5 linked regions of the Callithrix jacchus genome follow. The protein of the gene in region 1 binds, or shares a complex with, the protein of each later gene. Links are inferred from orthologs where the notes say so. Each region holds a gene or a part of one and is shown on either strand. Other genes may lie near its edges. The genes, in order: MFAP1, IK, ZMAT2, SMU1 and PRPF38A.

Region 1 (6,407 bases):
AAGCTTATATGAGAACTTGAGTATATTACAGAAGTGGCATTACAAATCAGTAGAGAGTGGATGGGCTAATCCATCAGCAGAGAAGGGACAATTGGCCAAACATATAGTAAAATTAGACCTCTAACTTCTACCATGGACACAAAAATTCCAGATGGATTAAAGACCCAACTATGAAAAATTTATCAGCTGGGCACGGTGGCTAACGCCTGTAATCCCAGCACTTTTGGGAGGCTGAGGCAGGCAGATCACGAGGTCAGGAGTTTGGGACCAGCCTGGCCAACATGGTGAAACCCCGTCTCTACTAAAAATTCAAAAATTAGCCGGGTGTGGTGGTGGGCACCTATAATCCCAGCTATTCCGGGTGGCTAAGGCAGGAGAATTGCTTGAACTCAAGAGGTGGAGGTTGCAGTAAGCCAAGATCGCACCACTACACTGCAGCCTGACAGAGCAAGACTTCATCTTGTGGGGGGAAAAAACTAAAACAAAAACAAACTTATCTTAAATATTTACATTCCCTACAGGACTGTAAGCTCCCTAACTTAAAGTGTGTTTTGTATAAGTATGTATTCAATCCAATTTAATATATACGAACACTCAGAAGCTAGAAAACCTTTACGAAAGCTGGGAATCCGGTGGCTCACGCCTATAATCCCAGCACTTTGGAAGGCCGAGGCGGGTGGATCACGAGGTCAAGAGATCGAGACCATCCTGGTCAACAAGATGAAACCCTGTCTCTACTAAAAATACAAAAATTAGCTGGGCATGGTGGTGTGCGCCTGTAGTCCCAGCTACTTGGGAGGCTGAGGCAGGAGAATTGCTTGAACCCAGGAGGTGGAGGTTGCGGTGAGCCGAGATCGTCCCACTGCACTCCAGTCTGGCTAACAAGAGCGTAACTCCATCTCAAAAAAAAAAAAAAAATAGCTGGGGACCATGGCTCACATCTGTAATTCCAGTACTTTGGGAGGCTGAGGCAGGTGGATCACCTGAGGTCAAGAGTTGGAGACATGGTGAAACACTGTCTCTACTAAAAATACAAAAATTAGCTGGGTGTAGTGGCGGGCGCCTGTAATCCCAGCTACTCGGGAGACTGAGGCAGAGAACTGCTTGAACCCAGGAGGCAGAGGTTGTAGTGAGCTAAGATCGCAATTCTGCACAGAGTGAGACTCCATGTAAAAAAAAAACAACAAAAAAACTTTGAGAACCTCAGAGCTTTATTTCCCATATATTCATCATTTACACACTTGGTTGTATCAGATTTTTACATTTTTGCCCAATCTAACAGGTGGAACAGGTGTGAAATGGCATCTTGTTATTCTAATTTGCATTCCCCTGATTACTAGTGATGCTGGGCATCTTGTTCATGTGTCTAATACGCTCTCTAGGTTTAGCCACCACACCCAGCTAATTTTTGTATTTTTAGCAGAGATGGGATTTCACCATGTTGGCCAGGCTACTCTTGAACTCCTGACTTCGTGATCCTTCCGCCTCATCCTCCCAAAGTGCTTGGATTACAGCTGCGAGTCACCACACCCAGCCTTTGAGACAGAGTTTTGCTTTTGTTACCCAGGCTGGAGTGCAATGGCGTGATCTCGGCTCACCGTAACCTCCGCCTCCTGGGTTCAGGCAATTCTCCTGCCTCAAACTCCCGAGTAGCTGGGATTACAGGCACACGCGACCATGCCCAGCTAATTTTTTTTGTATTTTTTAGTAGAGACGGGGTTTCACCATGTTGACCAGGATGGTCTCGATCTCTTGACCTTGTGATCCATCCGCCTCGGCCTCTCAAAGTGCTGGGATTACAGGCGTGAGCCACTGCGCCCGGCCTTGTTTTGAAGAGACAGGGTCTCAAGGTGTTGCACAGGCTGGAGTATAACGGCACAATCATAGCTCACTGCAGCTTTGAACTTCCGGGCATTAAGTGATTCTCCTGCTTTGGCTTCCCCAAAGTAGCAGGAACACATCACTACATCCAGCTAATTTTAAATTTTTTTGTAGAAATGAGAGTCTTGCTATGTTGCCCAAGCTGGTCTTGAACTCCTGGCCTCTAGTGATCCTCCTGCCTCAGCTTGCTGAAGTGAGGGATTACAGGTGTGAGCCAATGTGCTCCACAAATTCTTATATTCTTTTTTGTTTTTGTTTTTTGAAACAGTCTTGCTCTGTTGCCAGGCTGGAGTGCAGTGGTGCGATCTCAGCTCACTGCAACCTCTGCCTCCCGGGTTCAAGGGAGTTTCACCATGTTAGCAGGATGGTTTTGATCTCTTGTCCTCATGATTCGTCCACCCTGGCCTCCCAAAGTGCTGGGATTACAGGCATGAGCCACCACGCCCGGCCAAATTCTTACATTTTTACAACTCACTTTGGAGAGGTATTAAAGCTGAATTGGCTAAAGAACAACAACTGCAGAACTTGAACTTGTAGCTGGATTACAGGTGCCTGCCACCACGCCTTGCTAATTTTTTGTATTTTAGTAGAGATGGGGTTTCGCCACGTTGGCTAGGCTGGTCTGGAACTCCTAGCCTCAGGTGATCCGCCACCTCAGAGGTGTGAGCCACAGTGCCCAGCCGCAGCACTTTTTTAACAGGGGGAAAAAAACAGCAATGGGACAACTACCTGCCCCTCAGGAGGGAATAAACTGTGGGTTACAGTTTATTTAATTAATTAATTTATTTTTTTTGAGACCGAGTCTCGCTTTGTTGCCAGGCTGGAGTGAAGTGGCGCGATCACGGCTCACTGCAACCTCCGCCTCCCAGGTCCAAGCAATTCTCCTGCCTCAGCGTCCCAAGTAGCTGGGACTGTACAGGTGCACACCACCATGCCCAGCTAATTTCTGTATTTTTAGTAGAGTCGGGGTTTCACCATGTCGGCCAGGATAATCTCCATTTCTTGACCTTGGGATCCACCTGCCTTGGCCTCCCAAAGTGCTGGGATTACAGGCGTGAGCCACCGCCTCTGGCTGGTTACAGTGTACACAATGGAATTCATAAGCAGTTCAGATGAATAAATATCTATAGGGATTCAAAGATAATTCCCAAAATCCATGTTGAGGCTAGACACGGTGGTGTCTACCTGGGAGGCTGAGGCAGGAGGACAGCCGGAGTCCAGGACGTCGAGTCCAATCTGGGCAGCATAAGCAGTCTTCTATGGACAGCAAAAGAGGGACTATATCCCGCACAATGCCCAGCAAATAGGCATTCTCTCTGTCTATGTATCTACCTACCTACATATCTATCTAGTCTGATATTATATATTTATATTCTGATATATACTTAAGTCCCTAATTATTAGATTAATATATATATACTTAAGTTCCTAAGTAGACTAATACATATATTCTAGTAATATGTAGTGATATTATATTCTAATATTAGACTAATACATATATTCCAGGATATTAGACATCTATATTCTGATATATAGTTAAATTCCTAAGTAACTATTAAGTACTTTTATATATGTAATATATATAATGTACATATTAGTCTAAGGAATTTGTGTAGGCTAAGGGGTGCTTGCTGAATATGAGAGCAGGCCACAGGAAGAAGATCGGATGCGAGTGGGTGGGGGTGGAAAGGTCGAAGAATTTGGGAGCCAAATCTTGAGAGCTGGCGGGATAGAAGTGGTCTGTCTGGGAGAGACAGACCTCTCCAGACCTGGGAGAGATCTGGAGGTTGCTGGGGCCGAAAGAGTAAAATTCGGCTGGGAAGAGGGTTGTCAGCACCGTACCTTTCTCATTGCGAACCGGGACGGCCCCAGCCGTAGACTGAATGGGCGGTTGCTTCATGAGAGCGCTTGGGACCGACATGTTGATGGCAGCGACGGTGATTCCCGAAACTTGACTAATTCCAAACAGTGAACACCAACAACGTCAACGAAGAGAAGCGATCCCTTCCACCTACGTTCACGAACACAGCTGCTCGACTGATAGCGAAACCGCTTACGGCTGGGCTAGATAAACCGGAAATATGTAACGAGAGGATTGTGGGACGGTGGAGGACCTATGAGCGCCCACAGCTAGGAAGTTGCGTCTGTTTCTGCGCCTGCTCTTCGGCTGCCCTCGGGTCCTCTACGTCGCAGAAATTGGAAACCGCCTTTGGCGGGAAATTTTGCTTCTTTTGGGCTTTGCTGGTAGGACCGGCGGACCCTGCGGTGAGGAAGGTTCTAATGAAAGGTTCCACGTGTTAGGTTGGTTAGAAGCCAAGAACAGCATAATTAATAAGAAACTGAGGCGCCAGTGAGTTGCCGTTTGGCTTGTTGAAAGCTCAGAAAAAGTAGAGTTAGATGGAGTAAAAATCTTGGTAATAGTATCTGATTAGGTCAGTTGATGAGGCCAGTGTGAGCTGTGGTGCGGTATTTGGTGTCACACAGGGCAGGTGGTGCTGATTTAATCCAGTGACCAAAAAAAAAAAAAAAAAAAAAAAAATCCCCCAAGGTGCCTGAGACATTGCCTGCCCGAAATCCCAAAACTCCACTTCTAGGCTTTCAGGTTCTTCCACTGGTAGTTGGAAACTACCTATTAAAATATATTCCTGGCTGGAAAGTGTTTGCATTTAAGTTTCTAGGTAATTATTATTTTGAGACAGGGTTTTTTTTTTTTTGAGGCAGAGTTTCGCTGTTACCCAGACTGGAGTTCAATGGCACGATCTCCAGCCTCTGCCTTCTGGGTTCAAGCAATTCTCCTGCCTCAGCCTCCCGAGTAGCTGGGACTACAGGCGCGCACCACCATGCCCAGCTAATTTTTGTATTTTTAGTAGAGACAGGGTTTCACCTTGTTGACCAGGATGGTCTCGATCGCTTGACCTCGTGATCCACCCACCTCGGCCTCCTAAAGTGCTGGGATTATAGACGTGAGCCACCGCGCCCCACCGAGACAGGGTCTTGTTCTGTCACCCAGGCTGGAGTGCAGTGGCGCGATCTCGGCTTACTGCAGTCTCCACCTCTCGGGTTCAAGTAATTCTTGTGTCTCAGCCTTCTGAGTAGCTGGGATTACAAGCACCCGCCACCACGCCCTGCTGATTTTTGTATTTTTAGTAGAGGCGGTTTTACCGAGTTGGCTGGGGTCAAGGGATCCACCCACTCCGGCCTCCCACAACCTGGTAATTTTTGTGTTTTTAGTAGAGGCGAAGTTTCACCATGTTGCTCAGGCTGGTTTTGAACTCCTGACCTCTGATGATCCGCCCGCCTCGGCCTCCCAAAGTGCTGGGATTACAGATGTGAACCACCGCGGCCGGCCTATTTAAGAACTCTTTAAGGACTTGTAGAATAATAACAGAAGCAGCCCCAATTTACCAGCTGGGTTGTGTAAAAAAAGAAAAAAAAGAAAAAAAGGGAAAGGGCATATTTCACAGTAGGAAGGACTTTATCATTGTGGGGGACACAAGGGACAGCAGAAACAGTCTTGCAGTCCAGAAACTGTGCATTATACAGGACACCATGAAAAGTTTGGTTTTATCAGTAATTTTTGAGTCGTGGAGGGCCTTGAAGTTGCTGTTAATATGATTTACCCAAATTACTTCAACTGTATTCTATACAGTTGGGCCTTGGGTGGACCAGTCTCAGTCAGGTAACAGTGTGGGACCCAGTTAAGCAACTAAGGAAACAGTTTTGGGCTAGAAGGAACCTTAAACAGAAGAATAGCCAAAATCTTATTTTATATTTATTTATAAAAGAGACAGGGTTTTGCTGTCGCCCAGGCTGGAGTGCCGCAGCATGATGCCTCACTGGCTACATCCTTCTAGGTTCAAACCATTTTCCCACCCCTGCCTTCCGAGTATCTGGGACTACAGACGCACAGCACCACGCAGGACTAATTTTTGTATTTTTTGTAGACATAGGGTCTCACTATGTTGCCTAGGCTGGTTTCGAAGTCCTGGGCTCAAGCGATCCGCTCCTCTCGGCCTCTCAAAATGTTGGGATTACAGGCGTGAGCCATTGCGCCCGGCCTGCCAGTGTTTTGCAGAGCGGCATCCTAGTACCACCAGAATCAGAATCACCAGTCAAAGGTAAAAATGTCAATTCAGACCAAGTACATCCCTAAGGAATTTTCAGTCTAGGGCTTTAAGATGGCTTTCTTAAGAGGCGCGCGCAACCGGGTCTTCCTGCTACTGCGCTGCGACCGCGGTGGTGCTAGTGGGTTCCGCCGCGTCCCGGCCCCGCCCCGTCCTGCCCTACTACTCGCGGCCTCGCTCCACCCCTCCCGGCCTCCTGCCGCAATCTTGGCGGGAAGGCGCCGGCCGCTAAGCAGCCGAAAGATGTCCGGGTCGGACGCGGCGGCTGAGAAGGCGAACTCCAGACAGCGACCCCAGATGAAGGTGAGAAACGGGTTGGTGCTTCCGGGTGTGCTTCTGCCTCGGTTTCTGTGGGGTTCTGCGGGATACAGGCCTGGGAGGTCGAGAGCACCTGGCATTGGG
Region 2 (6,274 bases), on another chromosome or scaffold:
TAATCCCAACTGGTGTAATAATAAATTGTTTAAAAAACATCTCATAGTTGATGCCAAGTTAAAGCACTGTGTACCCATTAAGATATGGCATTATTGAAGAAATAAAGTACATTTGAAACCTTCAACAAAGAAAAAGAAACACATAAAAATCATAATTAAACAGAAATCAGGGAAATACAAATTAAAACAAAAATATGCCACTTTTTTTTTTTTGAGACAGAATCTCCCTCTGTTGAGGTACTGCACTCCAGCCTAGGCAAAAAGAGCAAGACTCTGTCTCAAAAAAAGAAATTAATCAGTCTGAAACAGAACTAAGTGTTTATTAGCTGGAGATGAACTAAACTGTAACGGTGTTTTCCAAAGAGGGAAAGATAGAACTAATGGTATGAGAGATTATTTTAATTGGTACACCGACAAGAACTGACTTCCCTGTTAATCAATTAAAGTCAGACAGACTCCTTTGAAGCTCTCTTCTGACTAGGGCTCTTCCTTGGCCTGCTGACCTCAGGTTTTGGTTTTGTTTTTTCTGAGACTGAGTCTTGGTCTTGTTCTGTCACCCAGGCTGGAGTGGCATGATCTTGACTCACTGCAACCTCTGCCCCCTAAGTTCAAGTGATTCTCCTGGCTCAGCCTCCTGAGTAGCCTGGATTACAGGTGCCTGCCACCATGCCCGGCTAATTTTTGTATTTTCAGTAGAGATGAGGTTTCACCATGTTGGCCAAGCTTGTCTTGAGCTCCTAACCTCAGGTAATAAAGACTGTGTCTATGCACACAAATGTTTACTGTGGCACTGTTCAGAATAGCAAAGACTTGGAACCAACCTAAATGCCCATCAGTGACAGACTGGATAAAGAAAATGTGTCATGTGGAATACTATGCAGCCATAAAAAAGGATGAGTTCATGTCCTTTGCAGGGACATGGATGAAGGTAGAAACCATCATTCTCAGCAAATTAACACAAGAACAGAAAACCAAACACCTCATGTTCTCACTCATAAGTGGGAGTTCAACAGTGAGAACACATGGACACAGGGAGGGAAACATCACACACACTGGAGCCTGTCAGGGTTGAGGGGTGGAGGAGGGAGAGCCTTGGGAGAAATACCTAATATAGATGATGGGGTGATGGATGCAGCAGACCACCATGGCACAGGTATACCTATGTAACAAACCTGCATATTCTGCATGCGTACCCCAGAACTTAAAAAAAAAAAAAAAGAAATCCTAAGTCAGTTCACAGAAAGTTTTCCCACTCTTGATATCCAATCCAGCTCCTCTTCTCCCACCCTCAATGTCTAATCAAGTTCCTCTTCTTTCCAAGGAAAACTTTATCAAAGACTATTGAAACAGGAGTCAAGACCATTGTAATAGAGTAGAGAGATTGAATTCAATTCCAAATACAACAGGGACAAGTGAGAATTTATAGAAAATTACTAAGGACAATTTGGTTAGGTTTGAAGGTGCAGCGGGGGCTGATTTCTTTGCTAAAACTGTGCTCAGCAGGCCAAAGATGAGTCCTGCTGAAAAACAGGACTCTTTGAGGAACCTGACTAAAGTTTAGCCAAAGAGGGAATGCTTGTCAGTCTCAGAAACACTGAGCAGGGCTTAAAAAGAAGCAAGTTGTAGCTGGGTACAGTGGTTCACGCCTGTAATCCCAGCACTTTGGGAGGCCAAGGCAGGCAGAAAAAAAAAAAGAAGCAAGTTGCAAAAATGACATATACAGCATAATATCATTTAACTTAAATATTTTAAATCATAAGGCAATGTTGTATTTTCCTTAGATATGCATGCATATGTATAAATGCATTTTAAAAGGAGGAGGAGGGCTGGGCATGGTGGCTCATGCCTGCAATCCCAGCACTTTGGGCGGCCAAGGAGGGCAGATCATTTGAGGTGATGAGTTCAAGACTGGGCTGGCCAACATGGTGAAACCCCGTCTCTACTAAAAATACAAAAATTAGCCAGGGGTAGTGGTAGGCGCCTGGTATAACCCCAGCTACTCAGGAAACTGAGGCAGAAGAATTGCTTGAGCCCGGGAGGTGCATGTTGCAGTTAACAGAAATCGTGCCATTGCACTCCAGCATGGACAACAGGAGGAAAAGATACACATAAAATTGTAACTGTGGTCCAGGCACATTGGCTCATGCCTGTAATCCCAGCACTTCGGGAGGCGAAGGCAGGTGGATCACCTGAGGTCAGGATTTCGAGACCAGCCTGATCAATATGGTGAAACCCCATCTCTCTAAAATTATAAAACATTAGCCAGGAATGGTGACAGGATGCCTGTAATCCCAGCTACTTGGAAGGCTGAGGCAGGAGAATCGCTTGAAATGGGAGGTGGAGGTTACAGTGAGCCGAGATAGCACATTGCACTCCAACCTGGGCACGAAAGAGCAAGACTGAATCAAAAAACAAAAAAGAGGCCGGTGCAGTAGCTCACACCTGTAATCCCAGCACTTTGGGAGGCCAAGGCGGGTGGATCACGAGCTCAGGAGTTCGAGACCAGCCTGGCCAAGATGGTGAAACCCTGTCTCTACTAAAATTACAAAAATTAGCCGGGCGTGGTGACACACACCTGTAATCCCAGCCACCTGGGAGGCTAAGGTAGGAGAATCGCTTGAACCTGGGAAGCGGAGGTTGCAGTGAGCTGAGATGGCGCCATTGCACTCCAGCCTGGGTGACAGAGTGATACTCTGTCTCCAAAAAGGAAAAAAAAAAAATGAACTGGAATTGATAATGTTATCAATGATGATTTTACCCTTATTTCCTATGTTTCTATTTTCTATTGGAAGAAGGAATTCCTATATAATGTGTAATTACATAACATATATTAAAAACAAAACAAAACAAAAACTTATCACCGTTCTTGCCAGAATTTCCTCTCATACCCTTATGCACTTGGCCTGATCCAGGTAAGGTTCACAGAGATAAAGGGCCAGCGGGCATAATTAATTTTTGACCATCCATAATGACAAGTCATTCAGAATTCTTTCATCATCACCACCATTCCTCTATCCATTGCCCAGCTCATTTCCATGGTCCTACGACAAAATACTCACTGGTGGAAGGAGTGAGGATCATCCACATCGTGGCCATCGGGGGCCAAAGGGTTGGAGAATGGCTCACCTGACAAAAAGAATTGAGGTTAATTTAATCAGTCTCTTATGTGTCAGATCCTGTGCAAAAATTTGGGATAGAGCAGTGAACAACATATAGAACAAGAGGTAGAACAGGGGCAGTGAAAACATAAGGTAATAAGTGCTGAAATGGGAAACTACAAGAAGCTGTGGGAGCACAAAGCAGAGGACCCTAACCCTAAGGTGCACGACCAGAGACTTCCTGAGATCACGTCTAAAATACTACGTAAGAGATGATACGCGCAACCCAGGATTAAGTACGGGGACAGGATTTGGGGAAAGTGAACCACAGACAAAAGCTACCCATCATCAGTTGGAGTAGGAGCGAGGCTTGGGTACGGAGTTTGGAGCTGTCCGGCCTCACTGGGGGCCCTACGGCTTCGCGGGGCTCAAGCGTCACACACACACACACACACACACACACACACACACAGCGGCTCGAGCTCAGAAGCTACAGTAATGTGCCAAGTGCCCCGAGTGCCATGAGAAATAACGGATGGCATGACCCTTACTATCTCGCTCCGGCATTTTGTTCGCGGTCTTCCGATGTCACCAACGATCGAGTCTCCAACAGCAACACCGCAGTGCCAAGCCCTTTCCCACGGTGCACCTTAGAATCAACCCACACTGCTTTGCGTTCTCAGCCTTTCCGCTTCCTGTTTTTGCCTCTGACCAACCCTGCGCGCAAAGGGCGGTCCTACAATACTTGCATATCATTGGCTAAGCTTTCCCTGCGTCATCCAGCCTTTGGCCTAGGCTGGAGGGTCCGCGATTGGTCCAACCTGAGAACTTGGCCGGAAGACCTGGCACTGGTGACTTCGGTATTACCCAAGATGGCGGCGGCCGCAGCGAGTCGAGGACTCGGGGTAAAGCTGGCCCTGCGAGAGATTCGCATCCACTTATGTCAGCGCTCACCCGGCAGCCAGGGCGTCAGGTGAGGCGCGGCGTGGTGAGGCGGGCGGGCTTGGGGACGCCGGGGTCACGACCTCGACCTCCCTGAAATTGGGGAAGCCCGCGTCCACAGCACGCGCGGCGCTCTCCGGCCCTGCAGGGACTTCATTGAGAAACGCTACGTGGAGCTGAAGAAGGCGAATCCCGACCTACCCATTCTAATCCGCGAGTGCTCGGATGTGCATCCCAAACTCTGGGCCCGCTACGGTGAGTGCGAGACGCCAGGGATCTGGGGCTCCGGTAGGGGAACAAGGGTTTGAGAAGAGAAGGGACCGCCCAAGGTCGTGCGGAAACCCATGGAGAAACTAGAACTCGGACTTAGCCTTGCTGTTGATCTTGTTGCCATGAAGAAATTTATATTCTCAGAGTTATATGATGCCTTGTATCCCTGGCAACATAAGTATATAGGCTGACCCGAGTCCTGCGTAGGGACCAAGAACTGATGTTTTTGTAGCTGAGAATGGGTTTCTCATAGGAGAGAAGCTAGTCAGTATAGTTTCGTTCAAATAACATGTAGCTATTGTCTGTCCAGATAGTGTGAGAATCTCAGTAATTTTTATTTTTATTTTATTTATTTGTTTGTTTGTTTTTAAGGCGGAGTTTCACTCTTGTTACCCAGGCTGGAGTGCAATGGTGCGATCTCGGCTCACCGCAACCTCCACCTCCTGGGTTCAGGCAATTCCCCTGCCTTAGCCTCCCAAGTAGCTGGGATTACAGGCGTGCAACCACCATGCCCAGCTAATTTTTGTATTTTTAGTACAGACGGGGTTTCACCATGTTGGCCAGGATGGTCTCCTGACCTCGTGATCACCCTGCCTCCGCCTCCCAAAATGCTGGGATTACAGGTGTGAGCCACCGGGCCCAACCTCATTTAATCTTCATTTGTCATGAGGAAGCGTGTTCTTCTTTTCTCATTGTAGAGATTAGGAAAAAAATGGAATCAAAACCTTGTGGAACCTAGCTAAAGTAATGCAGCTAGGATAAAACAGGATTGAGGCTTTACATTTATTCCCCTTTTCTAGAATGTACTTACCTCTCTAAGACTGGCATGGCTGGCTCCTTATTCAGGTTATTATTCTGGTCATGTATGTTACTGCTTCAAAAAGGCATTCGCTGACTGCTTCTAGCTCCTTTTTATATTACCCTATTCCAATATATTGCAAAATGAAATTTTCCTATCACGTTGCCTAACACATTGTAGGTATGCAATAAATATTTATACATACTGAATAACAGGATTTTAATCACAGCTTTTAACTATATGGTACCCTGGAAATGTCAGTGGGAAGGTGGAGGAGAGTGACCACCTTAAGCAGATTGGTTCTCACAGACTTCTGTAGTATGTCATGCATTAATAATTGGAGGAGGAAAAAAAGCTCCTCCCAAAAGACAGTAGACTACAAGGAGATAGACACGAGTAACTTCAGTGTATTGTGCTGGGTATTATGTGAGCTAGCATAGACGCCTAGGAAATGGGCACCCAGCCAAGGTTGGACCCATGCAATATACACTGCTCACAGTAGTTAACTATAAAGCTTTAGCTTCCCTGAAACAACCCATTGTAGCTGTCCAGAATCAGCCAAAATTCTATTTAGACTTGGGCTTCCTAGATGTGTTTGAGACCCATTGTATTAATTCTAGGCATACCAAGTGTACTCTTCCCATCTTAACAAGACTGTAAGATAAAGGACCTTTTATTTTACTTTGGTAGCCTACACGGTGCAGAAAAAATACTTAAGACACCTCCCTCTCTCTCCTCAGCATTTGGCCAAGAGAAGAATGTCTCTCTGAACAACTTCAGTGCTGATGAGGTAACCAGAGCCCTGGAGAATGTGTTAAGTGGTAAAGCCTGAAACCTCCACTGAGGATTAAGAGCAACTGCCTCAGAGACTGGGCTCTGATGGACTTAGTGTATGTGAAAAAAAAATGTGTTCTCCTAATCCTTATAAAGCTTGTGCTGTAAAATATTTTCTCAGGGTGTTCTTGTCATCATCTGCCCTCTACCCCTTACTATGCAACCAGTGAGGCAAAGTAGTTTAATATAAAAATAAAACTTTATTCTGTCTCATCAAAGGCTACCAGCTGCTGAAGCAAAAATGAAGGGGGTGGGGGACAGGGATTCTGGGGCCCCAGAATAAGTAGACTACACTAAGTCCCCTTTGGTCCTCCTGCCTAGATAGTGCTGA
Region 3 (4,343 bases), on another chromosome or scaffold:
TGCCAAGAAAAGCAGCTACCAATCTGCCCCCAGTTGACCAACAAATACTTACAGTATCTAAAACTTTGAGCCAGGCCTTGAACCCATAGGTGAAAATACATTCACGGTGTTCCCAATGGCAAGAGTCAGGATCAGAAATTAATTAGGCAGAGGGCATGTCTTACAGTAAGGGAGTTTTGTACAAAAGCCCAAAGGGAGGTGTATGGTGCTTTGTGGAACCCCCAGTGGTTCAGATACTACAGAAGGGTGAGGAGCTTAATGGGGCAGAGAACGAAAACCAGCTATATGGTGGCAGCCTGTTAACCCACATAAATCAATTTTTTCATGGTATAGAACCAGCAAGAGAAGTTACAGGTTTCATCTGCTTGAAATTAATGTGACTATAATTCTTCATGTATGTATATGACTACTTTTTTTCCTCTCCATCCCCTGGACTTGGCACAGTTCTTGACCCAGTGGATATCAAAGTTTTGTTTCTGTTTTGAGTTATCCAGACTGTGTCATCTAATTCTCAAGTTAGACCAAGATTAGATAAGAAAAAGACAGGTAGCTCGTCTCAGTGGTTATCAATGTGGGTAGGGAGGGATTTTGTCTTTCTCAGGAGCACACACATTTTTAGTTGTCACAATTGTGGGAGGGTGCTACTGGCTTCTAGTTGGTAGAGGCCAGGGATGAAGTTAATCCTAAATTAAAATCGTAAACATCCTGCAATATACAGCATTGGTCCCTACAACAAATAATCATCTGGCACAAAATGTCAACAGTGTCAAGATTAAGTAATCCTGTGTCTAGCAGAGAGTAAGAAAAACACTAAGGGCCGGGCACAGTGGCTCACTCCTGTAATCCCAGCACTTTGGGAGACCGAGGCAGGTGAATTACCTGAGGTCAAGAGTTTGAGACCACCCTGGCCAACATGGTGAAACACCGTCTCTACTGAAAATACAAAAATTAGCCAGGTGTGGTGGTGGGTGCCTGTAGTCCCAGCTACTCAGGAGGCTGAGGCAGGAGAATCACTTGAACCCAGGAGGTGGAGGTTGCAGTAAGCCAAGATCGTGCCACTATACTCAACTGGGCAAGCAAGTGACACTGCCTCAAGAAAAAAAAGAAAAGCACTAAGTTGAACCCTGAGTTCTGCTGCTCCAAAAACAAAAGATCAAAGGAGTCTGAAATTATAGGAATAGTTTTGGTTCAGACGCCTCTGGGCATAGATCCTGTATCAGAGGAAAACATAACTCATACCAAAAAAAAAAAAAAAAAAAAACCTAGGCAAAAGTAAAATTTTAAATAGAAGGAAAAAACACTCTATATTGAAATCCTCAGCGTGAGAAAGAAAAACAAATATTCACAGGAAAGATGATGAAATGTTCCCACCAAATGTGAAACAGGCCCAGTCAATGCCATTTATTATACATGTTGAACAGCTTCTAGGACCCAATGGCTCCCATAGGAAGGCTTTGGGGATTTTTTGTTTTTTCATTTTCTTCTTTGTATCAAACAGGTTCTTCCAAAAGCCTGCTCACAAGGAAGACAAAAACAGAAATCCTCAGGAAAATGAAACAAGAGAAGCTGAAACAATCTATACCTGAATGTTAAAAAACTCACCAGACACAAACCACACCAAACACTCATCCCATTTAATTTCCTGTTACATGCTGTGAGGAAGCCAAGAACATTAGGTCCCAGGGCAGCAATGCTCTGAGATTCCAGCTCAGGCCCCCTCTATGTGACAGATTCATGCACACACATCCACGCACATCATAGAACCAGGCAGAAATACACATGCATGCACAGGTGGCTAGAGAACCATGGGAAAAAAGGGCTGGTCAACGATATGCAATCAACTGCAAACTGGGACCTAGAGAATGCTTCTGTTGCAGGCTGAACATGAGTTAAAATTAGAACAAAGGCAGAACACAGGATAAAGGTGGGATGCTCAGACAAGAGGTTGGATAGATGGAGAGATCAAGATGCAGGGGGAGTTTTGGGAAAGCAGCCTCAGAAAGGGAGGTTTTTCTTTATTGGGAACTCAGGTGGGCAGGGATCCTATGACTCCAGTGATATACTGAGGCTGAAGGAATATGCCACAGCATTACCTCTGCAATCTATGTCCTCTCCCAAAGTAGAGGAAACCATGAGCCCCAACTTCTGTCCCTCCCCATTGACACTCTTAAGGACTTTACCATTACCCAAAAAGAAATTACCCCCCACTACAAACACACACACAAAGTTAGGTCCAGCATAGGCCAAAGTTAGGCCAAGCATAGAAAGCCTCAGTAACTCTTCTTGGTGGAACCAAAGCCAGAGAAGCCCATCACAGCTGCCATCTCATCATCCTCCTCAAATGTCAAGTCCTCCTCAGCCCTCCTTTTCTTCTCCTTCTGTTTCTCTTTCTTGTATGCTTTGGCCTTTTCCTCCTGGAGGGAAAAGTCACTCAGAATCAGTTTAGACTCCTCAGCCAAATGTTGTTGAAAAAAACATGAGCTTCAAGATTCCTTTTTATCGTTAGGAGAAAGTAGTTAAGTAAAATCTGAAGGACAGAGTAAAAGCCACAGTAAAAACTGTGAGGGATAAGAAAAAGTTTTAGTCCCTAGAGGGAAGTTCTCAATCCTGGACTCCAGTTCACTTTTTTTTCTTTTTCTTTTTTTTTTTTGAGACAGTCTCACTCTGTCGCCTAGGCTGAAGTGCAGTGGCATAATCTTGGCTCATTACAACCTCCACCTCCTGGGCTCAACCAATCCTCCCACCTCAGCCCCAAGCAGCTGGGACTACAGGCATATACCACACTATACCAGCTAATTTTTGTATTTTTATTTTTTTATTATTTTTATTTATTCATTTATTTTTGAGACAGAGTTTCACTCTTGTTACCCAGGCTGAAGTGCAATGGCGCAATCTCTGCTCACCGCAACCTCCGCCTCCTGGGTTCAGGCAATTCTCCTGCCTCAGCCTCCTGAGTAACTGGGATTACAGGCACACGCCACCATGCCCAGCTAATTTTTTGTATTTTTTGTAGAGACGGGGTTTCACCATGTTGACCAGGATGGTCTCAATCTGTTGACCTCGTGATCCACCTGCCTTGGCCTCCCAAAGTGCTGGGATTACAGGCTTGAGCCACCGCGCCCGGCCCTGTATTTTTAGAGACGGGGTCCCACCCATGTTGCTGAGGTGGTCTTGAACTCCTGGGCTCAAGTGATCAACCCACGTTGGCCTCCCAAAGTGCTGAGATTGCAGGCATGAGCCACTGCATCTGGCCCCGTTTCATTTCTAGTTCCTAACAGGGTTATGACAGCAAAACCGTATTAACAGCAACTAACATTCTGAGGCATGCAGTACAGGCCAGAAACTGTTGTACTTCATGTATACTATACTAAGATCTCTAATATGGGGTTATGGAAGTACAGAGAAGTTATATAACTTGCCCAAATTCAGTAAGAGAAAGAAACAGAATTCTGATCCAGTCAGACTGATTCCATGGGCCTCTTTAGGACTAGGTACATTTAATTAATTCCTTTTGTAGTTTAAAAAAAAAAAGAAGAAGAAAAAGTACAGGGGAGGCTATGCATGTTGCGGGGGGCAATGGGTATACGGAAAATTTTTATACCTCCCTTTCAATTTTGTTATAAACCTAAATTGCTCTAAAAAAGTTAAATCTTTAAAAAAATTAAAGAATACAGATGAGACAGTCCTCAACTTGATCTGATAAGATTTTTTAATTTTACAATGGAGAGAAACTGACATATATTTGAAACTGTACTTCAAGTATCCCTACAACCATTGTTTTTCACTTTCAGTACAGTATTTAATAAACTAATGAGATGAATACTTTATTATAGAATATGCTTTGTGTTGACAGTTTGGCCCAATTATAGGCTAATATGTTCTGAATACATTAAGGTAGGCTAGGCTAACCTATGGTAGGTTAGGTGTATTATACATTTTTGACTTCTGATATTCCTAACTTGATGATGGGGTTTATCAGTAGGTAACCCCATCATAAGTAGAGAAATACCAAAAAAATAAAATAAGGCCCAGAGAGTCCAGAAGAAAAAAGTAGTTTCAGAGCCATTTCCTTCAGGTCATGAGAATCCTAAATAAAGGCAACAAATATTCCTGCTAATATATAGAACTCAAGAGATACAACTCTGGGGGTGGGGGTGGGATGAGGACAGGGTCTCCCATGATTTATAACATAAATCTGAAATCTGGAGGAAAAGGGAAGGATAGGAGAGCCTTACCTCTTCTCTGAGCTCCTTCATCCTTTCCTCAAAATCATAATCCTTCTGCTTTTCTTCCATCTTCTTCTTGTTGACCTCAAAACGTTTCTTCACCTGATCCAGGGTGGA
Region 4 (6,222 bases), on another chromosome or scaffold:
AAAAAAAAAAAAAAAAAAAAAGGAAGAATTTTAATTTGGGAAATCTTGGATTTGCAAGAAGGGAGAAAAAATAACAATGTCAAAACTTGCCAGTGTAAGTTTTTGTTTTGTTTTGTTTTTAGTTTTTAGTTTTTTCTTTTTTAAATCAAAAGCAAACCAGTGTAAGTTTTATGGGCTGATGCAGCCCTACGGTGCTTAAAGGAATGCTCACTGATGGTTTCCAGTCAGGGAGCCGGCCCACAACAAACCAACCCATGGGGATCAGCATCACCATCACTCTTACCTGTTCATAGAGGTCAATGAGGGTTTTGTCTGGCAATTTCAGAGACTGTATAGCCTGCAACACAGTATCCCAATGGCCACTGTTAATGTCAGCCACAAAACTCTCAATGCTGTCCACAGTATTCAGAGACACGGTAGTCTCCTCCTGCAAGGTGGCTAATGCCCGATGTAAACTGTTCTCCTTCAAGTACTGCATGATAAGGCGGATCACACTGAAAGAAAACAAATCATTCAGCTCAGGGATTTCCACTCGCCAGAGGCCAAAAATTAAAGCCTACCCAGCTCCTACTCATCATTTCCTTTCACCACCATCTCTTTATCATGTGAGTAAAACTTTCCAAAGTCACAGAATCTGAATTACAAGGGGACCTCCCCACCCTAGAGACAGAACTGGGGTTCAGAGAAGGGAAATCATTTGCCTGATGTCTCAGCCAGAAAGGGAGTTGGTATTAAGGTGACTATCTTATTTCCTAATCTAGAGCCTAGTTTCTTGTTCATTCTTATGATTATATTATAGCACACTTCACTGAAATACTTTAAATGACTAGTCTAGTCATTGATACAAAATAATCTCAATGAGGCTGGGCACATTGGCTCATGACTGTAAACTCAGCACTTTGGGAGGCTGAGGCAGGAGGACTGCTGAAAACCAGGAGTTTGAGACCAGACCAGGCAGCTATGAGACACCATCTCTACAAAAATTTTTAAAAATTAGCCAAACATGGTGGCATGTGCCTGTAGTCCCAGCTACTTGCTATGCTGATTTAGAAGGATCCTTTGAGCCCAAGAGTTCAAGACCAGCATGGGCAACATAAGGAGACCCCTTCTCTACTAAAAAAAAAAATTAGCTAGGCAGAGTAGTGTGTGCTTGTGGTCCCAGCCACTTGGGAAGCTGGGGTGGAAGGATTACTAGTGCCCCTTAAGGTTGAGGCTGCAGCCTGGGAAAGACAGCAAGAGCCTGTCTCAAAATAATAAATAAAATAAAACCTATGAGGTAAGTTTACTACTATCTGATAGTGGTGGTCCTGTTAAAAAAAATTTTTTTTTAAGTTTATTATTATCCCCAAATTACAGAGGATGTGACCAAATAATAGAGATAATAAGTAGAAAAATCAGGACTCAAACTGGCAGTGTGGCTCTTGAACATATATTCCTGAGGAGAAAGCAAACACTCTCTTCTTTACTTCTTTTCTTTTCTTTTCTTTTTTTTTTTAAAGACAGGTTCTCACTCCCAGAGCTCAGGCTGGAGAATAGTGTTGTGCTCACAGCTCTTTGCAGCCTCAACTTCCTTGGATCAGGCGATCCTCTCACCTCAGCCTCCTGAGTAGCTGAGACCACAAGTATGCACCATCCCACCAGCTAATGTTTGTGTTTTTTGTAGAGACAGGGTTTTGCCATGTTGACCAGACTGGTCTCAAATTCCTGACCTCAAGTGATCCACATACCTCAGCTTCCCAAAGCATTGGGATTATAAGTGTAAGCTACCATGCCTGGCCCCTCTTCTTAAAAACAACTATAAAAGAGAACTGATTGCTGCTATTTGCAGTAGGCTTTTTCTCTCATGGCCCCTTTCTGAGGTATGCAGGTATCCAAGCTTAGACCCCTACTATTCTGGTATGGTACTATCCTCCTTAGCACATTTCCAGTGACTTTCATTTTGCACTCCCAAAATAAGACATCTCTCTCCTCAAACACCTCAAATTTGACATAGCCAAAATCAAATTCTCTACCTTCGAACACAAACGAATATATAAAGAGCTAAAAGCTTTGAAGACAATCTGGGATTTGAATCAAAATTATGTGACCTGGGACAAGTCAGTTAACATCTCTGTGCCTGCTTCCTTATCTGTTAAGAAAAATACCTATCCTGTAGGGTTGATAAAAAGGTTGATTATACTACTTACAGCATGCTTAGCATAGAAAGTACTTAGTATATAGTAACTACTATTATTATTATTTTGAGTCTCATTCTGTTGCCCAAGTTGGAGTGCAATGGCGCGATCTCGGCTCACTGCAATCTCTGCCTCCCGGGTTCAAACAATTCTTCTGCCTCAGCCTCTGGAGTAACTGGGATTACAGGCGACTGCCACCATGCCAGGCTAATTTTTGAATTTTTAGTAGAGACAGGGTTTCACCATGTTGGCCAGGCTGTTTTCAAACTCCTGACCTCGTGATCTGTCCACCACGGCCTCCCAAAGTGCTGGGATTACAGGTGTGAGCTTCCACGCCCGGCCCAATAGTAACTATTATTAATTAAAAACAAAACAAAACATGCAGTAGCCATTACTGCTACAGCCAAGGTCAAGACTGGGAGAATGGTCATTACAGGTACCACTCAGGCCCCAAAGCATGGAATCCTTTCCAACTCCTTCCTGACCTAGTTGTCATAATCTCCAGCACTCCCTATCATTCTTCTTTGTTTCATTTTTGTCCAAAGCATTTACCACCATCTGTTACATTTCATATTTTATTTATCGTTTTTGTCTATTGCTTGCCTTCCCCAGTCACAATGTATGTTCTATGAGAGGAAGGATTTTTGTCTGTTTTGTTCACTACTGTATTTCCAGCATCTATAACAATACATAGATTTCAGTATTTGCAGAATGCATAAACTTCCCTGCCTCCTATGAAGAGTCTCCAAAAAAGGGCTAGGTGCAGTGGCTCACACCTGCAATCCCAGCACTTTGGGAGGCTGAAGTGGGCGGATCAAGAGGTCAGGAGTTCGCGACCAGCCTGGCCAACATAGTGAAACTCCCTCTCTACTAAAAATACATCAAAAAAGTAGCCAGGCGTGGTGGTGGGCGCCTGTAGTTTCAGCCACTTGGGAGGCTGAGGCAGGAGAAATGCGTGAACCCAGGAGGCGGAGGTTGCAGCAAGCCGAGACTGCGCCACTGCACTCCAGCCTGGGTAACAGAGTGAGACTCCGTCTTGCAAAAAAAAAAAAAAAAAGTCTCCAAAAAAGGTCCTCTCTCACAATTCTGTTAATTTAATCATTATTAAGTGTTGGCAAGGACAGGTGGAGGATGGAGTTCTGGAAAAGCACACTAAAGGTCTTTGGTCATTACTTTTCTCCCCCATTCCCTGAAAATTCTTCTTTCTAGCCCAGTCTCCAGAGACTGTCTCTCCTTTACAGCTACAGAGAGCTCACAAACAAACCAAAATTCAGGGCCTGATAAAATAGCTAGTTGTTCTTTCATTCCAAAAGCAATTAACTCTTCCTCTAAGGTACGCTGAGACCACAAGGAAAAGGAGCCCCTAGGCACCGTCAAAGCTAGTCTGGGGTAAGGTTATCAAATATTGAGTGATAAACGCTAGGCAGAGGAAAGCAAAGAGACCGTATAAGCACAGAGGAAGAAACGAATCACTTTGCATAAGTTGGGCAGGGAGAGAAGCAAGGCTTAAAGAGACCAAGCCCCCTGTGTGATAATTAGACTGGAGTCCAGAGTGGATCCTTAATTTGATCAATCACAGCACAGTCGGCCAAGGACAGAACTCAGGTTTGCAAGGTGTTTTCCCCACCCCGTGCCACCTCCCTCGAGACTTTGGCTTCACGTCTGAGGGTGGCTACTTCCTTGCCGGCCCACCTCCGAGCTAGCCAGATCCAAGATGCTTCTTTGGGCCCAACGAAATGGCCCTCCACTCCCTAACCTCCCCTAGCCTCTCCGATACCTTCTCTCGAGTACCCTCCACCCCACAACCTTAACCTCCGGGTGCCCGGCACAGCTGGAACATCCCCACCACGAGACTCACTCCGAGGATTCGATTTCGATCGACATAGCTGTATCTCTCAGGGAGCAGGCCCCAGTTCTCCCTCAAGGCCAGTCGCGCAACACAGCAACACCTCCGGCGGCCACCTTACGTCACTTCCGCTTGGGTCGGCAACCGGAGTCCGGCGCCTGCCCTTCAGACGGAATGATCAGAAAGAGGGGCGGGGTGCGCGCAAGGGCGGGGCCTTGAGGGACTGTCAGAGGGTGGAGTTTATGCCCCTGCCCTAGAGAAATAAGCTCCTGGAGAAAGACTGTTTAAAAGCACTGGGCGCCATACAGCTCACAAATGCAGTGAAAAACAAAAGCACTGGGGCTGGACGCGGTGGCTCACAACTGTACTCCCAGCGCTTTGGGAGGTCGAGGCGGATGGATCACCTGAGGTCAGGCGTTGGAGACCAGCCTGGCCAACATGGTGAAACCCCTGCTCTACTAAAAATACAGAAATTAGCCGGGCGTGGTGGCCCACGCTTGTAATTCCAGCTACTCGCGAGGCTGAAATAGGAGATCGCTTGAACGTAGTAGGCAGAGGTTGCAGTGAGCCGAGATCGCGCTACTGCACTTCCAGCCTGGGCGACAGAGTGAGATTCTGTCTCAAAAAAAAAAAGGATTCAGGCTGGACTAGGAAAGGAGGGCAGGTCAGGGCAGCGGAGGGGAGGGGAGGGAAGAGGAGGAAGAGGAGGGGTTGTCATTTGATGTAATTAGTTGATTAGATTTTAGATAAGGCTGAATATGCACTACTTGATTGGGATATTAATATATTCGAAAGCGACGTAACAAAATTTATAGAAAGAGTTAATTAAGGGTTTTGGGGGTTTTGGTTGGTTGGTTGGTTAGTTTTGGATTTTTTAGAATCAGGGACTTACTTTGTTGCCCAGGTTGGAGTGCGGTGGCACGATCAAGGCACACTGCAGCCTCGACGCCTCGGACTCAAGCCATCCTCCCACCTCAGCCATTCAAAATAATGGGATTACAGGCGTTAGCCACCGCGCCCCTCACCGGACTTTAGATCACACACATTATTACATTTGTAGTGACAAATGAAATGTAGAGGTATCAGTAAAGTTCATACATAAAACCTATTTTTAAATGTTTTATTACTAGTGTATATAAATTTTTAAAATTATTTACAGCACAATAATAATAAATCTGGCTGGGCACCATGGCTCACACCTGTAATCCCAGCACTCTGAGAGTTTTAGGTGGGTGGATCACCTGAGGTCACGTGTTCAACACCAGCCTGGCCAACATGGTGAAACCCTGTCTCTACTAAAAATACAAAAATATGCTGGGCATGGTGGCATGCACATGTAATCCCAGCTACTCAGGGGGCTGAGGCAGGAGAATAGCTTGAACCTGGGAGGCAGAGGTTACAGTCAGCCGAGATTGTACCACTGCACTCTAGCCTGGGTGACAGAGTGAGATTCCATCTCAAAAAAAAAAAAAGAATAAAAAGAAAAGAAAAAGGAAATTTAATTTTTAAAAGAAAAACTAAAAAAGAAAAGGTGGGGCAGCGGAGGGTAGGGAGTGTGAATTATATTCTGTCTGATCACATGCTGCTTGAGATAATCCCTGGGGCCAAGTGGCCTGTTTCAAGTCAGAACTTATTTGCTGCTTTGCCTGTAGTTTATGCATTCACGTCAATGTGATCATGGGCACCATTCTTGAGAAATGAAACTTTATCATGACTAGCAAGCAGCCACAGATGTATACCTATCCTTTGCTTCTTCGATATATTGGATTTTTAACCCCTGATTGATAGTCAATGCTCCTGGCATCGCAAACCCTCCTCACTAATGTTTATTCTGTAATAAGAAAGTGGAATATGACATTTTTGTTACTATGTATAATGAAATGACAATCTATACCTAGTTTCCCTTCCCTGAACTGGCTACTTATGTAAGTATTCCAATAATCCATCCATTTCCATGCCTTTCCCATACCCAAAAGTATAGCTTTCTTAACCTTGCTGATCTCTTGTTCACAAGTTGATAAATTTTGCCAATTCCTAAAGATCAATTTGTATAGGAAATTTTGTTTTTAACCCTAGAAAAATGAGGTCTCTCACATCTCTCCATCCATATATAAATAAACAAGCAGGCACACACAGAGACAACTTCTAAACTCTAAATCAGGCAACTGTATTCACCAAGAATCTTTACTGCATACTCAGAGG
Region 5 (5,770 bases), on another chromosome or scaffold:
CTCTGGAAGAGGACATGGACGATGTGGAGTCCAGTGAAGAGGAAGAGGAAGAGGATGAGAAGGTCAGGCACCTAAGACTTTGAGAGCTGTAGGGGAGAGAGTTATAGAAAATGGGAATGGTTTTTTGTTTTTAAACTTTTTTTTTTTTTGAGACAGTCTTGCTCTGTTACCAGGCTGGAGTGCAGTGGCACAATCTCGGCTCACTGCAACTTCCGCCTCCTGGGATCAAGCAATTCTCCTGCCTCAGCCTCCGGAGTAGCTGGGACTACAGAGGTGTGCCACCAAACCCAGCTAATTTTTCTATTTTAGTAGAGACGAGGTTTCACTGTGTTGGCCAGGATGATCTCGATCTCTTGACCTCATGATCCACTTGCCTCAGCCTCCCAAAGTGTTGGGATCACAGGCATGAGCCACCACGCCCGACCTAATTTTTAACTCTATTGGCCAGGCACGGTGGCTCACACCTGTAATCCTAGCACTTTGGGAGTCCAAGGTGGGCGGATCACTTGAGGTCAGGAGTTCAAGACCAGCCTCAGTAACATGGTGAAACCCTGTCTTTACTAAAAATACAAAAATTAGTTGGGAGTGATGGTAGGCACTTGTAATCCCAGCTACTCAGGAGGCTGAGGCAGGAGAATTGCTTGAACCTGGGAGGCAGAGGTTGCAGTGAGCTGAGATTGTGCCATTGCACTCCAGTCTGGCAATAACAAGACCCCGTCTCAAAAAAAAATTTTTTTTTAATTCTTTAACCAAATACAATATTTTCTTATTGAAAGTACCTCAGCTCTGCCATATACTAGTGGTATAATCTTACACAAATTAAATTGAGTTTTCTCCTATGTAAAGTGAGGTTAATGATACTTTTCTCCCAACACTGTTAAAAGTATTAAATAAGATGATAAACATAAAGCCCTTAGCACATTTTTGGCACATTATAATTGCCTAATAAGTGGTGGCAGCTATTAAATAATTGGAAAGAAATAACGCTTGTCATAATTGCCCCTGTCCTCAGTAATAAGCCTTGTTTAGGAGGGGGAAAATGTCAACTGCATAGTCATGTTCTTTCAGTACTCGTTACAATGCTGAAAAGTTGAAACCAGCCAAGCTGCCCAGTTGTTTCAGGAAGCAGCCAGGTAAAACTTTTGTTTTTTGAGACAGGGTCTCGCTTTGTTGCCCAGGCTGAACTACAGTGCCACAATCTTGATTCACTGCAGCCTCGGCCTCCCAGGCTCAAGCTATCCTCCCACTTCAGCCTCCTAAGTACCTGGAACTACAGGCACATGCCACCACGTCTGGCTGATTTTTGTATTTTTTTGTAGAGATGGGGTTTCACCATGTCTACAAAACATACACACACACACACACTCACTCACTCACACTCTCTCTCTCCGCTCCTGTTCCTATATAGCTCATAAGTTTTGTTAGTTAATAGGGTAAGTGCTTCCCTCTTTGTAATCAGATCACTGTGCTTTAAAGTCACTTGGAGATGGACTTTGGGACAAGATGTGGAGCAAAGTATAATTAGTGTTTCTAGTGGCTCCTTATGAGCTTGTGCCTATCAATGACCCAGCCATCTTGTTTCCAGTTGGAAAGAGTGCCATCACCTGATCACCGTCGGAGAAGCTACCGAGACTTGGACAAGCCCCGTCGCTCTCCCACACTGCGCTACAGAAGGAGTAGGAGTCGGTCTCCCAGAAGGTAAAGCCTTAGTCGTTGGCCTTTTCCCAGGAGATTTTGAGCACTATAGCCTAGAAGTTTGGATTTTAGAGAAGGAAAAATGACAGCCTATGGAGAATGTTTGCCCAGTATATTAGTTATCTGTTATTGTAACAACCACCTATAAAACCTCATTGGCAGACAACAATAACCATTTGTTTTGTTCAGAAGTCTGTGGTCAGTAATTTAAGCAGAGCTTGGATAGGCAGTTTTTTAAGTACCTGTTTTGTTGTTAGCTGTTTGCTGGCTACTATGGGATCGCCTTTGCTAGGATGACAGGGGAAGTTTCCCTTCTCTGTATCATCCTCCAGCAGGATAAGATGGGCATCTTTTCATGGTACTGGCAGAACTAAAGAGCAAATAAACCCAGTCATGCAGATATTTTTCTTGTATCTGCTTTTATCACGTTTGCAAATATCCCATTAGTCAAAGCAAGTCATGTGTCCAGTCCTAAAGTTAGAATGGGAGTGTGCTAGTGTTACATGACAAAAGACATGGATACAGAGAAGGGTGATACAGAGAAGGGTGAAGAATAAAATTGGGGCCGTTTTTGCAATCTGCAACATCCAGTGCACCAACCTAGGCTTTCTTTTTCCTCTCTTTATAGGCGAAGCCGATCTCCCAAAAGGAGAAGGTAGGCCTTCGGTCATTTTGATGAAGGACAGGGCTTTCGGGAGTGGGGGTGGTATTGGTTGGTGTTTTATGTATATTGCTAACCAGATCTGGTAGTTTGACCAGTCTTTTCTACAGCCCCTCCCCCCGTCGAGAAAGGCATCGAAGCAAGAGTCCAAGACGTCACCGCAGCAGGTCCCGAGATCGGCGGCACAGATCCCGTTCTAAGTCCCCAGGTAGAGCATTTGGGCCTTTTGCCACAGGTTCTCTTAACAAAGAAACATAAAAGGAGCAGTTAGCCTTCTGCAGTACAGGGTGCCTGACTGAACTGCGTAGCAGAAAAGGAAATGGACATAGAATCTGAAAATAAAGGTTCACAGCTTGTCACTTTTATAAGCCTTGCTGATAAGGTTTGCTTCTGTTTTTTCATCTGAAATTACAAGAATAAGATCTAACATAATAATAGAAACCCAATATGATGTTTGTGAAGTCAGCCATAAAGCCCTTGAATGAATGTATTTGTATTTGAACTGGTTTCGTTAGTACTTTCTTTGCTCCCTCTTCCTTCACTAATTCAGAGAGTTGCTACCACTAAGAGGTGTCCCCTGCATAGGCCAAAAAAAATATCAAGCCAACGGCAGACATTAGGGAGGTGAGAATGGGAGTTTAATAAGAATTGAAGGGTAGGATCTCATACAGTGGCCTTTTCTTCCCCAGGTCATCACCGTAGTCACAGACACAGGAGCCACTCCAAGTCTCCTGAAAGGTAATGAATTGACCTCTATTTTAACTTTATTCAGAAATAAAAGTCCCAATTATAACTAATCGGACCTGAAATTTTGTTTTGTTGGGGCATATTAGGAATTCTCCTTAATTACAAGATAAAATTGGTCTATTGCTTTGAAAATTACTGGGGCTAGAGACCCTTTTTCTTTGATACGGTTTCGCATTTATAGTTTTTTCTTATAAAGTTTCTCAACCTTTATTTTTAATGAAGGACGTGCTGAGTTTTGCCCAGGCTGGAGTGCAATGGCGTGAACTTGGCTTACTGCAACCTCTGTCTCCTGGGTTCAAGCAAGATACCCGTTTTGTTTTGTTTTGCTTTACAGGATTGCAGCTTTGGATAATGGATGAACTTTGGTCTTAGAAGACACGGAGTTTAGTCCCAGCTTTTAAAACTTAACAGTTGAGTGACCTTGGAAGAGTCACTTTCATTTAATAAGATTTCATTAGAAACCCCCATGTGCCACATACTGTTGGGTGCACTCTTAACCTCTGAGACGTGATTTCCTCAATGGTAAAATTTGGATAGTAACCCCTGATTCAAGAGTGTTGCTCTGAATCAAAAAAATACCAAGCAGTTTAATGAATATGGAGTGTTAGCTCCTTCCCCATTAGTGTCAGCATGCCAAGGTCCTTCTCAGAAGTCCCTGCCCAGATCCTTAATGTAATTATTTATATGTGTTTCCATTTCAGGTCTAAGAAGAGCCACAAGAAGAGCCGGAGAGGGAATGAGTAATGGACTCGGTTTGGTTGTAGTCCACATGGCCTCCTGTGGATATGAGGGTATCTGTCTATGTGGAAGGCTTAAGAACTCCCCAGGCAGCTACAAGAATATTTTAGTTTTTTTCTTATAAAGTTTCTCAACCTTTATTTTTAATGAAGGAGGTGCTGAGTTTTGTATCTCTTTTTAATCATCATTAACATCAGTTTTTGACCGAACTAACCTTGACTGTATTCAAACTTATGAGGGTGGAAAGGATCTGTAGGTTGAAGATACGAATGACAAGGAAAGGATGTGGCCACCTGATGACCCTTCTCCTTTTTATTAAACCAGACACATCTGTTTCCCATTTCTCTGTCATTTAGTTTTTGGTTTGCTGTAGTTAGAACTACTTTGAGAATCCTGGGATTTGTGCTGCTGCTATTATTCAAAGATATGAGTAAAACATAGTAGCTCCTAACTTTTTTCCAGCAGCAGCAAATGGTGATACACATGAAAACTGGTTAACAGTTTTGAAAGAACAGAATGCATTCAAATGTTAGGCTTCTGGATCATTAAAGCCAGTTTCATTGAACAGTTCAACAGAGTGGTACTTAATACCCTTTATACAGCCCATTTTTTCATAGTTCCATTGGTTCTTGCCCACAAACTTGAAATCCAGGTTAAGCTATCCAGCCTTTGTCATATAAGCATTGACATTATCCAGGACTACTCGGTAGCAGTAGGTAACAGGATTGAAAAAGATTTGATGGAGAGGAAAGTATCTAATACTAGTCATGGTTTTGATCTAAATTGCTAGACAAGAGTGCCATTTACAAAGTAGAAAATATAGCAGAAAGAGAAGCTTTTAGGGGGCAGAGTATTAGAGGATTGTGCTAGTAATGAAAGGGATGCATTCAATTTAACAAGTTTGAGACAGCTATGGTATAGCTAAAAAAAAAAAAAAAAAGCCCATAAAGTTGGAGATAGGCCAGAATTGACAATATTTTAAGTAATTGTGGAATCTGTCAATAAGACTGCACAGAGAGTGTTTATATCAGAAAAGCACATGAGAACCATAGACAACACTGGTGACAAGAAGTACTGGAATGACCCATTCAGAAAGACGGGAGAATTAGGAGACAGTAAGTGAAAGAAGCCAAGGGTCAAGAACGCAGAAGCAAAGTAAGGACTAAAAAGTCGCCATGGACATTGATAATCAAGAGATGAGATATTTGCTAGAAGAATTCCTTTTACCAGTACTTAACTCCCTTAAACAAAAGTGACTGACTTCCTGCAACTGTAGTCCTAGCAGGAACTGTGAAGACCAGCTGCCCTACAGAATCCAGTTTTTCTTGGGAAGTTATATCTGGTCATAAGGTAAACAGTGCATTCTGTTGCCTGCTCTTGAACTGAAAGATTTCTACAGCAATATTAAAGCTTTTTTAAATCTTAATTGAGCTTTCATAATCTTCAGTGATTCCTTTCATAACACCTGAATTAAAGAGCTCTTATGGTTTCCGATACAACTATATAGGACTACCTTTTAAAATTAAATATAGCCATCTCTACGTAAATGTTTTGCAGTATCCTATCAGTTCTTTATGAAAGTGATTTAGATAGAAATGTTTCTTGGCTAAATGACCATGGATCTAGTACACTCTTAAAACTTTAAATTAGGCTGGGTGTGGTGGCTCACACCTATAATCCCAGCACTTTGGGAGGCTGAAGCCAGCAGATCACAAGGTCTGAGGATCAAGACCGTCCTGGCCAACGTGGTGAAACCCCATCTCTACTAAAATACAAAAAATTAGCTGGGCGTAGTGGCACCTGCCTGTAATCCCAGCTACTTTTGGGAGGCTGAGGCAAGAGAATTGCTTGAACCCAGGAAGCAGAGGTTGCAGTGAGCCAAGATCACATCACTGCACTCCAGCCTGGCAACAGACCAAGACTCCCTAT

What was found.
Region 2: MFAP1 (region 1) and IK share a complex: the UniProt entries of both Homo sapiens proteins name them as parts of the spliceosome B complex. The link is inferred for Callithrix jacchus from reciprocal best matches to the Homo sapiens genes MFAP1 and IK.
Region 3: MFAP1 (region 1) and ZMAT2 share a complex: the UniProt entries of both Homo sapiens proteins name them as parts of the spliceosome B complex. The link is inferred for Callithrix jacchus from reciprocal best matches to the Homo sapiens genes MFAP1 and ZMAT2.
Region 4: MFAP1 (region 1) and SMU1 share a complex: the UniProt entries of both Homo sapiens proteins name them as parts of the spliceosome B complex. The link is inferred for Callithrix jacchus from reciprocal best matches to the Homo sapiens genes MFAP1 and SMU1.
Region 5: the proteins of MFAP1 (region 1) and PRPF38A are in contact, whole or in part, in a crystal structure (PDB 5F5S), measured with the Homo sapiens proteins. The link is inferred for Callithrix jacchus from reciprocal best matches to the Homo sapiens genes MFAP1 and PRPF38A. Residues at the interface, in NP_005917.2 of Homo sapiens: Glu275, Tyr276, Trp279, Arg282, Glu283, Arg286, Arg289, Asp290, Arg294, Leu297, Glu298, Lys301; in NP_116253.2 of Homo sapiens: Tyr124, Asn125, Tyr127, Lys129, His143, Asp145, Glu146, Asp149, His153, Tyr169, Val170, Glu172.

Annotation. Positions count from the first base shown.
Region 1 is NC_133509.1:31,483,352-31,489,758, forward strand, and holds the start of MFAP1 (microfibrillar-associated protein 1), read right to left. Parts: upstream 3,939-6,407; 5' UTR 3,803-3,938; coding exon 3,724-3,802; intron 1-3,723. Other genes in the region: WDR76 (WD repeat-containing protein 76), read left to right, coding at 6,249-6,308. UniProt on the Homo sapiens protein: Involved in pre-mRNA splicing as a component of the spliceosome.
Region 2 is NC_133503.1:39,012,697-39,018,970, reverse strand, and holds the start of IK (protein Red), read right to left. Parts: upstream 3,774-6,274; 5' UTR 3,666-3,773; coding exon 3,650-3,665; intron 3,127-3,649; coding exon 3,060-3,126; intron 93-3,059; exon of another isoform or gene 1-92. Other genes in the region: NDUFA2 (NADH dehydrogenase [ubiquinone] 1 alpha subcomplex subunit 2), read left to right, coding at 3,971-4,071, 4,162-4,295, 5,850-5,941. UniProt on the Homo sapiens protein: Involved in pre-mRNA splicing as a component of the spliceosome. Auxiliary spliceosomal protein that regulates selection of alternative splice sites in a small set of target pre-mRNA species. Required for normal mitotic cell cycle progression.
Region 3 is NC_133503.1:39,074,678-39,079,020, reverse strand, and holds the end of ZMAT2 (zinc finger matrin-type protein 2), read right to left. Parts: coding exon 4,236-4,343; intron 4,088-4,235; coding exon of another isoform or gene 3,992-4,087; exon of another isoform or gene 3,799-3,991; intron 2,415-3,798; coding exon 2,271-2,414; 3' UTR 1,376-2,270; downstream 1-1,375. UniProt on the Homo sapiens protein: Involved in pre-mRNA splicing as a component of the spliceosome.
Region 4 is NC_133502.1:140,278,944-140,285,165, forward strand, and holds the start of SMU1 (WD40 repeat-containing protein SMU1), read right to left. Parts: upstream 4,155-6,222; 5' UTR 4,059-4,154; coding exon 4,033-4,058; intron 495-4,032; coding exon 284-494; intron 1-283. UniProt on the Homo sapiens protein: Involved in pre-mRNA splicing as a component of the spliceosome. Regulates alternative splicing of the HSPG2 pre-mRNA. Required for normal accumulation of IK.
Region 5 is NC_133508.1:89,574,164-89,579,933, reverse strand, and holds the end of PRPF38A (pre-mRNA-splicing factor 38A), read left to right. Parts: coding exon 1-62; intron 63-1,585; coding exon 1,586-1,698; intron 1,699-2,323; coding exon 2,324-2,350; intron 2,351-2,445; coding exon 2,446-2,564; intron 2,565-3,045; coding exon 3,046-3,094; intron 3,095-3,804; coding exon 3,805-3,847; 3' UTR 3,848-4,414; downstream 4,415-5,770. UniProt on the Homo sapiens protein: Involved in pre-mRNA splicing as a component of the spliceosome.